Drosophila melanogaster: one gene and its partner. The protein of the gene in region 1 interacts with the protein of each later gene in a pairwise test. Each region holds a gene or a part of one and is shown in the gene's direction. Other genes may lie near its edges.

The links. The genes of interacting proteins can lie anywhere in the genome.
Region 2: the proteins of Spps (region 1) and retn interact in a two-hybrid assay, tested with the Drosophila melanogaster proteins (one large-scale study listed by BioGRID).

The regions. Positions count from the first base shown.
Region 1 is NT_033777.3:24,222,911-24,228,671, reverse strand, and holds Spps (Sp1-like factor for pairing sensitive-silencing), read left to right. Parts: upstream 1-1,737; 5' UTR 1,738-2,016; coding exon 2,017-4,923; coding exon of another isoform or gene 4,924-4,974; 3' UTR 4,975-5,227; downstream 5,228-5,761. Other genes in the region: CG13609 (uncharacterized protein), read right to left, coding at 454-1,548; cav (caravaggio), read right to left, coding at 5,249-5,761.
Region 2 is NT_033778.4:23,630,969-23,635,618, forward strand, and holds the start of retn (retained), read left to right. Parts: upstream 1-1,641; 5' UTR 1,642-2,209; coding exon 2,210-2,296; intron 2,297-4,650. UniProt on the Drosophila melanogaster protein: Transcription factor which is a downstream target of gcm and repo. Directly or indirectly activates the transcription of locos and pros, which are essential for the development of some glial cells.

The DNA.
Region 1 (5,761 bases):
TAGATTACTTATTTTACAGTCGGGGTTTTTTTTTTAATGTCTATTAATGCTGCAGCATCTGACATGCGATAACACAGTTGTCCTTGACCTAGTTGTAGAACATAAACATAATAGATGCACATCAAAAATGTTTATTTATAAGATCGGTTAAGTTTTAATATGGCAACGTATGACAGACATTCGTAATACAAACTTGCGTAAATGCATTCAGGAGTTCGCAGTTTTATGATTATTTATCTGATTACATATTTTAGCCTTGGTATGTTTTCCCACTGGGGACGTGCGAGCGTATCTTGTTTAAATATTCTTTGGTCTATATTTATAATAATTAAACAAAAAAAAAAAAAATATCTAATTATAAAACAATACTTTCTTCGATGACTATAAATTTGATATACCTAGAGTTCAAATAAATATTTTAAATATACTTTGAGATCATCTTGAGATACTTGTTTACTCTTTGTTTCTCGCCTTTTGGCGATGTTCGTCTAATACTTCCCGCAATCGCTTGACGAAATTAGCTTGATCTCTCGGAATAAAGCCCAGGAAGGCGTTCCTCGGGGACGAATACAGCAGCATGATAACCTTGCAGACGACCTCGGAGGAAAATCGGGCACAGCCACAACTGCCGGCGGACATTGATGATGCTAGCGAGTCGTGTTCTTCTCCAGGTGTCGATCGGAGAATTATAAGTTTCGAGTCCTTTATAAACGCTCCGGCGAACTGACCAAGATAAATTGAAGGCATCAAAACCATAGGCATATCAGTTGGCCAATCCTCCGCACTGATCCCGGGATCACCGTTTTTTATAGCTATGTACACGGAACACTCAAGCTTGTGACTAATGCTTGGCTCCTCTAAACTTGCTTGTGTCGACCAATTCAGCGATCCAGTCCATAGGAGTTCATTTATAATGGCATCTTCCTCCACAGGAGGCGGTTCTTCTGGCTGTGGCTGCTTGGGTGTTTTGACGCCCGGCTTTCGTTTTGCACCCTGAAGAATCTCCTGCAGTCGTTCGCTAAACGAATCCTCATTGTTGGGTATGAAGCCAACCAAAGCTTGATGATCGCGCGAGTAGATGAGAATTAGAGCCTTGATGTTGCAGTTGGGATTGGAGGGGAAGTGGATGCAACCAGCGAAACCAGAGCTCATCGCCGTGATCAATAAATTGAGTACCTCTCCTTGGCTGGATCGGAATACAACCATCCTGGCATCCTTTAGGAATTGTTCGCCAATTTTACCCAGCACTTTTTTGGGTATCAGTTGTGTTTTCAGCTTGTTTGGCCAGTTCTCCGTGTTGATCTCCGGCTGACCTTCTTTAACCATGGAGCAGATTTTGCATTGGACCGTGTGCAGAGTCTTCGGTTGATCCAATATCTGTGCATCCTCCCATTCGAGCTCTCCACTCCAAATTGTTTCCTTTGAGTCACCATTTTCAGGATTTTCCGGTTCTTTTTGCAAAAGCAACGCCCCAATCATATGTGTTAGACAATCGAGTTCCCCTTCGTCATCACCCACTCCTCGGGCTTCCTCTGGAACCGGCTCCATGCCCCTTTCAAGATGCAATCTAATTAAATATGGATTTTGTCGGATAGGCAACTTGTCGGTTAAAAATTTGTTTATCTGTGATATGCTTCTTCTTGCTTTTAGCGGTTTGTTATTGGTATCGCACTATCGGTTGGCTGGTTGGTCGATTGGCGGCCATCGAGATGCAACGCAATGCAACCCTGGCCAATCACTCTCACTTCTTCTTCTGCGTTTGTGTCAAAACAAAATTAAAACTAAAAACTCGCTAAAACCGTCTCGCAGCGCAATTATCTTTAGACTTCGTGTTATTTATGTGTTTGAATGTTAGCGTCGGCACCCCGCATCCCAGTGTTCATAACCCCATGTGTGCCACCTTGGTTTAAATGCTACCAATCTCCTGGCAGAGTAGCGCGTCTGAGCGAATAAAAAAACTGAACATGTTTCGCTCCAAGCACTTGTGATTGACCAAATCTCATCTAAAGCCCTGCCATGCTGCAGTACAAGAGTGCCGCCAGTGCGGCGACTAGTGCGCCACCCGCCACGCCTTTGGCGGCAGGCGGTTCCAGCAAGGCGACGATTCCACCAAATGGAGCTAGTGCAGCAGCTTCACAAACGCAGGTTCACGGTGCTCCCGGGACACCAACCATGCAGCAGATCATCAACATTCACCAAATGCCTCCTCAGTTTGCAGGCGGAGCGGTTGCCGGGAACGGACAGAACGCTGGCATGCCCCAAAACATGTTCCAGATCGTACAGCCCATGCCCATGCAAACGGTGAACATTGATGGCCAGGAGGCCATCTTCATACCAAACCTCAATGCACAACTGGCCACCGCTCAGGCGGTCAACTTCAACGGGCAACAGGCCTTTATCACGCCCAACGGTCAAATTCTGCGGGCTCCCCAGATGGCAGCTAATCCGGCAGCCTCTAACTGCATTCAGCTGCAACAGCTGAACGGCTTGGGCCAGGAGCAAACCCAGCTGATCACCATACCCGGCACCAACATTCAAATACCCGTCACCAATCTCATTCAGCAACAACAGCAGGCACAACAAGTGCACCAGGGTACAGTGCAACAGCAGGCACAAGGAACAAATGCATCTGGAGCCAATGGATCGGGAGTTACCAATAGTGGGACAGCGGGTCAGCTGCCGGGCAGCATCACCATACCGGGCACAAACCTGCAGATACCAACCTCGGTAGCGGCGGCGAATGGATTGCTGGGAAACATCTCCAATATCTCCAATTTACTAGGCGGCGGGCAATCTATAAAGTTGGAGAACGGCCAATTGCAGATGCGGCCGCAACTGGTGCAGTTTCCGGCGCCAGCCATGCCGCAGCAGCAACAAACGGTTGCTGTGCAGATTCCCGTTCAGACTGCTAACGGACAGACCATCTACCAGACTGTACATGTGCCCGTCCAGGCAGCGGCAACATCGAGCGGCGGACTGCAAAACCTGATGCAGGCGCAATCCCTGCAGATGCCCTCCGCCTCGCAGATGCAAATCATCCCGCAGTTCTCACAGATAGCCCAGATTGTTACGCCCAACGGTCAGATTCAGCAGGTGCAACTGGCAATGCCGTATCCTCAGCTGCCTCCGAATGCCAACATTATACATATCCAGAATCCCCACCAGCAGCAGCAACAACAAGTACAACAACAACAACAGCAGCAGCAGGCGCAACAGCAGCAGCAAGCGCAACAGCAACAGGCACAGCAGCAGCAACAACAACAGGTCCAGGCGCAGCACCAGCAGCTCCTTCAGGCGATCAGCGATGCCTCGGCGGGGGGACAACTGCCGCCCAATCAGCCCATCACCATTACCAATGCCCAGGGCCAACAGCTGACCGTGATTCCCGCCCAACTACGCCCAAATGCGCCTACCGCACCCACTCCTGCTCCAGCTGGTGTGCCCACACCAATGCAGATGCCCAATCTTCAGGCTTTACCCATCCAGAACATCCCAGGCCTGGGTCAAGTGCAAATCATTCACGCCAATCAGCTGCCTCCTAATCTGCCAGCCAACTTCCAGCAAGTACTAACCCAACTACCCATGTCGCATCCTCAAGTGCAAACTCAGGGCCAAGTTCAGGTGATGCCCAAGCAGGAGCCGCAGAGTCCAACGCAAATGATCACCAGCATCAAGCAAGAGCCGCCGGATACCTTTGGACCCATTTCCGCAACTGGTAATCCTCCGGCACCTGCCTCTACTCCAAACACAGCCTCACCGCAACAGCAGCAGATCAAGTTCCTGCATACGGAAAGCAATTCCCTGTCCAGCCTGAGCATACCAGCCTCCATTCAGATCACAGCCCTGCCACAGCAAGCGACGAATACACCGAATACCCCAGCCACAACCCAACCAATTCCCGTATCGTTACCTGCAAGAAGTAAGGTCAACGCTGTGACCACGTCAAGCACCCAGATTACAATTGCGCCGACTGGTGGCCAAGTGGTGTCCGTCACGACGCAGGCTAGGGGAGCAACTGCCAGCATAAGGAGCACGAACACCAGCACGACGACTATAACAACGCCGTCACAAAGCCATCTCAATATGAACATAAGTGTGGCCAGCGTCGGAGGTGCTGCAACTGGCGGCGGCGGTGGAACAGCGACTGGAGAGCCCAAACCACGCTTAAAGCGAGTAGCCTGCACCTGTCCCAATTGTACAGATGGCGAAAAACACTCGGACAAGAAGCGCCAGCATATATGCCATATAACCGGCTGCCATAAGGTATACGGGAAAACTTCCCATCTAAGGGCTCACCTGCGTTGGCATACTGGCGAGCGACCATTTGTCTGCTCCTGGGCGTTTTGCGGCAAGCGCTTCACCCGCTCCGATGAACTGCAGCGCCACCGACGAACGCACACGGGAGAGAAGCGTTTCCAGTGCCAGGAGTGCAACAAAAAGTTCATGCGCAGCGATCACCTGTCGAAGCACATCAAGACGCACTTTAAGAGCCGCTCTGGCGTGGAGCTAATTGAGCTGAGCATCAAGCAGGAGACCAAGGGTGGCAATGCACCGAAAAGCATTAGCACGGTGAACGGCATTGTGACGATTGAGATTCCGGGCGGCGGTTCAGCGGCGGCGGGCAGTGGAGCCTCCAGTGTGGCGGCCACGGTTGCAGGCTCAACTGTGACGCCGGGCGGGGCCACGATCGTTCAGCTGCCGACTGTGGAGGCCAGCGGCGGGGGTGATAGTTTCGGCGATGATGAGGACGACGAGGAGGATGATGAATTGACCGAAGAGGACGACGAAGACGAGGAGCTCGACGAGGACGATATGGATGATTGCGAGGATGAGGAGGATGACGAGGATCCAGAACTAGACAGTGGCGATGAAGTGAAGATGACAATTGCGGTCAGTGAGCCTGGCGACAATTCGTCCAACTAGCATTCGGAGTCGCTGTTCATGGAACAGTTCTTGTTTGACCACTTCCCGTAGCACCCACCGCCCCCTGCCGCGCCCCATGGGACCATGGTTTAGCAATATATAAATTGTACATAGCGTAATTATGTAAAAGCGAGCATTTTAAATGTTTACCCTTCTTGTACAGCTCCGGTTGCGGATCATCCTAGATTAGTGTACATAGCTTAATCGACCATCGTATTTTAATTAAGATTTTTATTATACATTTTATAACATTTTTAGGGATTACATGTTTTTAATTAATTAACACCAATAAATGAAGAACTTTATATAGTTTAATATATGGACATCAGGCTATTGAGGTGACGTCGATCGGCTCAGATTCTGTATTTTGAAAAGTGATAGTTCCTTCCGAATCAATTGACGGTCCAATCGACAAGCTTTCCGAATTAATTTGATCACACCTTACCCAGCTCTCATTCATCTCTGTCTCTGGACAGTTTACCTGATCGTCAGGCTCTTGAGTCGACGTGGGTCGTACTAATGTGCTCAATTGGGTGCCAAACATATAGTAGTCCGGATCAGACTCCGTATTCCGGAAACTGTTATTTGCTTGCGAATTTATACATCCAGTCCGCATCCTTCCTAAATTAATTGGATCACATCTCACCGAATTCTCATTAATCTCTGTCTCTGGACGGTTGATGTTCTCATCCTGAAATCCTGACTGCTGCTGTTCGTCCTCATCGTCTCCGATGCCGCTAAGATCAGATGACGACACGCCTGGCGGAGCCATCGCTTCCACTTGAAAGTTCATTTGAGACAGTGAACTAAGATTTGTGTTTGCTTGGTCCTCGTGGCT
Region 2 (4,650 bases), on another chromosome or scaffold:
GAATTCCTAAATATTCCCGATGAATTCATTTGACTGCAACTTCCCTTAGATCGCGCCCAGAAACACCACCACCCCCCCCCCCTCTCCACCCTCCTGCCATTTTGCCCCACGAATTTGACGTCGTCTCATTAGTCACATTTAAAATTGTATTTAATTACTTTCTCACTTCATCATCAGTCAAGTCGGTGGGTCGGACGTCGCCTCGTCATTGGCGTTGCTCTTCTCCTCCTGGGCTGGCTGCCAGGGGGTGTATTCGTAGTCGTAGGGTAGCCTCCCCTACAGACACCCAGATACAGATACATATACATTAACAGATGCAGATACAGATACATGCCGCAGCGTTCGCGGCTTGTTTGTTTCACAGACAAGTCGGCCAAAATTGATATACTCAGCTGCACACAGGAAAATCAGTTCAAAATATAACTTACTTTACACACAAATAAATAATTTGAAGAATAAAAGTCATGAATTTTAATTTGCATCATTTAACTGAGTACCGTAGCGTATTTGTTTGCATGCATAAAAGTACATCCGATTTTCTTTCAGTGTCTGGATCCACTGCCGCTGCTCTTCGGCGGCGCTGCCTTTCATCAATTTCAAATTAGTGAAAATCGAGAAACGGAAATTATTTACTATCTGGATGGGTGGCTGGGTGCGAATGTGGATGTGGCTGTCTGTTGGATGGGTGGCAGCAGCAATCTATCCATCCATCTATCTACCGCCTTGGCCATTACAAGTGCAATTTATCTCGCAAATCATTAATCAACCTACCGTTTGCCTTTCCCTTTCCCCCTCCTTTCCCATCCATTCCCAGCCCACCCAACGCCTACCTTCACCCCCTACTTGGCAATTGTTTTTAGCCCGTTTTTGTGTACTTATTGGCAACAAATTTAAAAGGGCACAAACTTGGCCCCTCCCATTCGATTGGGAAAATCAACAGGACGATTCGGCGAATGAAAAGGGCGGCGCTCTTCAATTGAACCGCGCATAAAACTCGATTGAAAGATACGCCAGTGAGCCAATACAAGTGCGCAAAACTAAACACTAAGCTACAAAAGCTAGAAACAAAAAGGTTGTCATTTATTTAGTATCCAAAAGTCTTATTTACTTCCTAAAACGCGGGTAAACAACTGCACATATTATTAGTAATACATCATTATTAAAGTAACTTACTAAAAATATACATTTTATTCGAAAACAAAAGCACATAAACCTGTTAAATTGCGTTAACAAACGTGCTAGGCAGTGTATCTGCGTTTTCTGCCCACATTCTGCGGATACAGATACACGAGCACACCTCTGCCTCAGGTGTTCGTGTGTGTGTGAGTGTATCGGAATGAGCGAATAAGAAGGCGGCGTATTGCGCACACTCTCACACACACACGAATCGGGCATTGCATAGATTGCGATTACAATTTTAATTTAATTGACCACCTCCCCCACCCCCTCCCCTAACAAACGATGGAACGGCCATCCGATTGGCTGCGAACGAGTTCGGGGAACGAGTGTGAATTGGAACGTGCAATTCCATTCGTTCGATTTGAACGGCCGTTCCGGCAACATTTGGGAATGTTGCAGCAACTTGTTGCTATTGCTGTGAGATGGTGTCGGTGTCTTATTCGCCAGTTTCTTGTTCGCTACTCAGACCGATTTGAACTTTCGAGTGAACGAGACGAGTTCCGTGCGGTCGGATAACGGCTTTTCAAATGGACACATCACTGTAATTAGATAACGTCGCAATGTGGATTAATAACAATCGTGTTCTGTGTGTGTGAGCGTGTGAGCAGTAAAACTCTTGATCCATAATTAAAGTGAGAAGCATAGAAGTCACTAGGAACCAAATCGCACTAAACAACCGCAAGCAATTGCAAACAAACAGAAAGGCATAAATGCAAGTGAACGGTTCTTAAGCGCACTCTCCTGTTTCTGTTTTCCAACCAGAATAAAGTGCAAAGAGGATCGACGATCACAAGTAACGGTTCGCGCTCACAAAAAAAAAAAAGAAATCAAATGCTGGCCGCAAAGTAATGCCATATAGAAGCTAAAAACAACACAACAAAAGTGTGCTGTGCCAATTAAACTTCAGCTAAGGAAATAACATCAAAAGTATCAAAGGTCTGCGCAGGTCTTTGATCAACCGCAACATTCGTTATATTCGTCATATTCGTTATATTCGTGACATTCGAGCAGGGTGATCCAATTCGCCTCAATGCAACTGCGAGTGCACCCTACTATGGACTGTAGCGGTCGTTCAACCAGCAATATTGAACGCGATTCCGATCTGGGGGACGATTTGGTAAGAAAAGGAACTTTGTAACACCCAATATGCACCTCTACAGTAACGCCCGAAGTTATTATTATTATAAAGGATTATTATCTTCTTTGAAAAATTGATGTGACAAGCACTAATCAGCTTGGCATTAAAATAAATGTCATACATTCAAGTAATAAACTTAATTGGCATAATCATTCTCAGTAGAAGTATCCAGGTGAAAAGTATGTCAGTAAGTGCCGCTAAATTACCTCTTTATTATCACATCGTAAAACACTGATATGAAATATACAAATGAATTATGTAAACAAACATGTAGCATTGAAATACAAATAATGAAGAAATATACGGAATTCATGGTTATTGCTAACAATCAGCTACTGATGGAAACTCATTCATTTTCCGATAATAATTCTCAGAAGCATTTCGAAGTATTATTATTATTTTTACCAAATGAAATTTGTCAAGCACAAAAATTAATAAGATAACCCACCTTTCATCTATCCATCATATATGTATGTATAGAATCTGTTTTGTTTTTTTCGCGACCGTCTGGTAATTTGAGTTACTAATGCATCAATATCCATTTGCCACGCGAAAAATAGTATTAAGTCTTGACACTGATGGGCCAAGATACCCTATTCAGTCTAAAAAAAATGAAATACCCATTTGCCGTCGGCACTTAGAGGAAATCCTTACCCAAATGCCCAAAAGCGATCGCTTTTTGGCCATAATGATCTCTTGTTTGGGTAGCAACTTATACTTCAGCTTTGTTTTCTGCTGTCGTGCTCGAAAAGGCAAAGGCAATTCCTGCAACCGACTCACATTGTTTGCAGATGATTCAAAACGTAATTATAATGTTAAAAAAATATGTTTATTCAATCGGGGAATGGGAGATTCAAAACGGAGGGAGCTGGCTCTTTTGGCTTTTTGGCGTTTCAGTTTGCCGGAGAGCCGTTAAAAGGTGACATGCTAAATGGTCGCATACAAGACGATTGTGTTGTAGCGACACACTCACGTCCAGCGCGATATACACTCACACGTTGATCGAGCTAAGTGCATGGCACACTCATAAACACAAATAGATTCATCTGTTTTGGTCCCACAAAACCGAGCGATCGGCGTACCGACATCCCGAGATCGTTCACAATTTCCACCGATTGAAAGAGATCTTTCAATCCAAGCTCTTTGATGGCGTTCATATGTAAATAGATTGTTCAAATATTTGCATTATTTGTTAGTACCTTAAATGAATATTAAATGGGTTTTATTGCCTTTCAGGCCTTTCGGCCATTCGCTTTCAGGTATGCAGCTTCATCTCCATCTCCATCTCCATCTCATCGCGACTTCTTCAATTCAATAAAACTCTTGTTAGTCTTTTCCTGCCCCTTTGTTTTCCTTTCATTTTTATTATTGTTAATAGACATTGCCGGCTCGATCAACAATGAGCCAGACTTTATACACTCACTCACTGGCCGGCCGGTCGGTCTGGCTATTTACATAATAATTTTTAATAGCCTCGCTTTTGGCCAAGAAGCGAAGGCGGCGGAGACGCAATGGGCTGTGCAAACAGCGACTGAATCTCGGCTCTCCAGGCCGGCCTATTCGTCATCCCCCCGGATCGATGCCGATGCGATGTGTGCTCCTTGTGGGCCTGGACTGGTGTTAATTGCGGGTCTCTCAATTGAGGGTCCGCATGTGGGTGCTGTGCTGTCTAATTAACCCCACTGCGATCCGGACCGACATGCTGGTGTCATTCGCACATCCGATCCGCAGTTCTATTCAAATCAAATCCTGCCACCGCCACTCGCCGCTCGCATTTTCAATTTTAGCCCGAAAGTCACGATTAAACAATAATGTGGGCTGTCAAAAAGTCATAAATTCTCGAATGAAACCCAGTCCCAGCGAAGAAGTCGTGCCCAATGGTCCATGGTATATGGTCCAATGCCCAAATGCCCAAATGCCCAATGCCCAGTATCGTCATCCGAGCAGCACTTTAATTACATGGGTTAAACGCAGAGTTTAAAATTATTGCCGAATTGTTGTCTGTAATTTTTGAATCGTTTTTAAATTAAATCAAGCCGGCGAACATGACTCGAGACAATTGGCTTCCGATTCCTCCTCCAGCGCCGGAGCAGCTGGTGGATTCACTCCGAGCGCTGCACGTGCTCCAGGCGCAGTTCCCACATTAAATCATACCGGCCTTGGGTTGGGGGAATCCCCCCAAAAAAAAATCTCAGTGGTGGTTAACTGGTGCCGCTGCTGGTGTTTGCACTGATTCACACTCCGGCTCCGATTCCGATTCGGCCAGCGTCGTTTTCCACATTTATTTATGACCGCTTCAGTGCGCCAAGCCAGAAATTTTGGAAGAGTTGTAA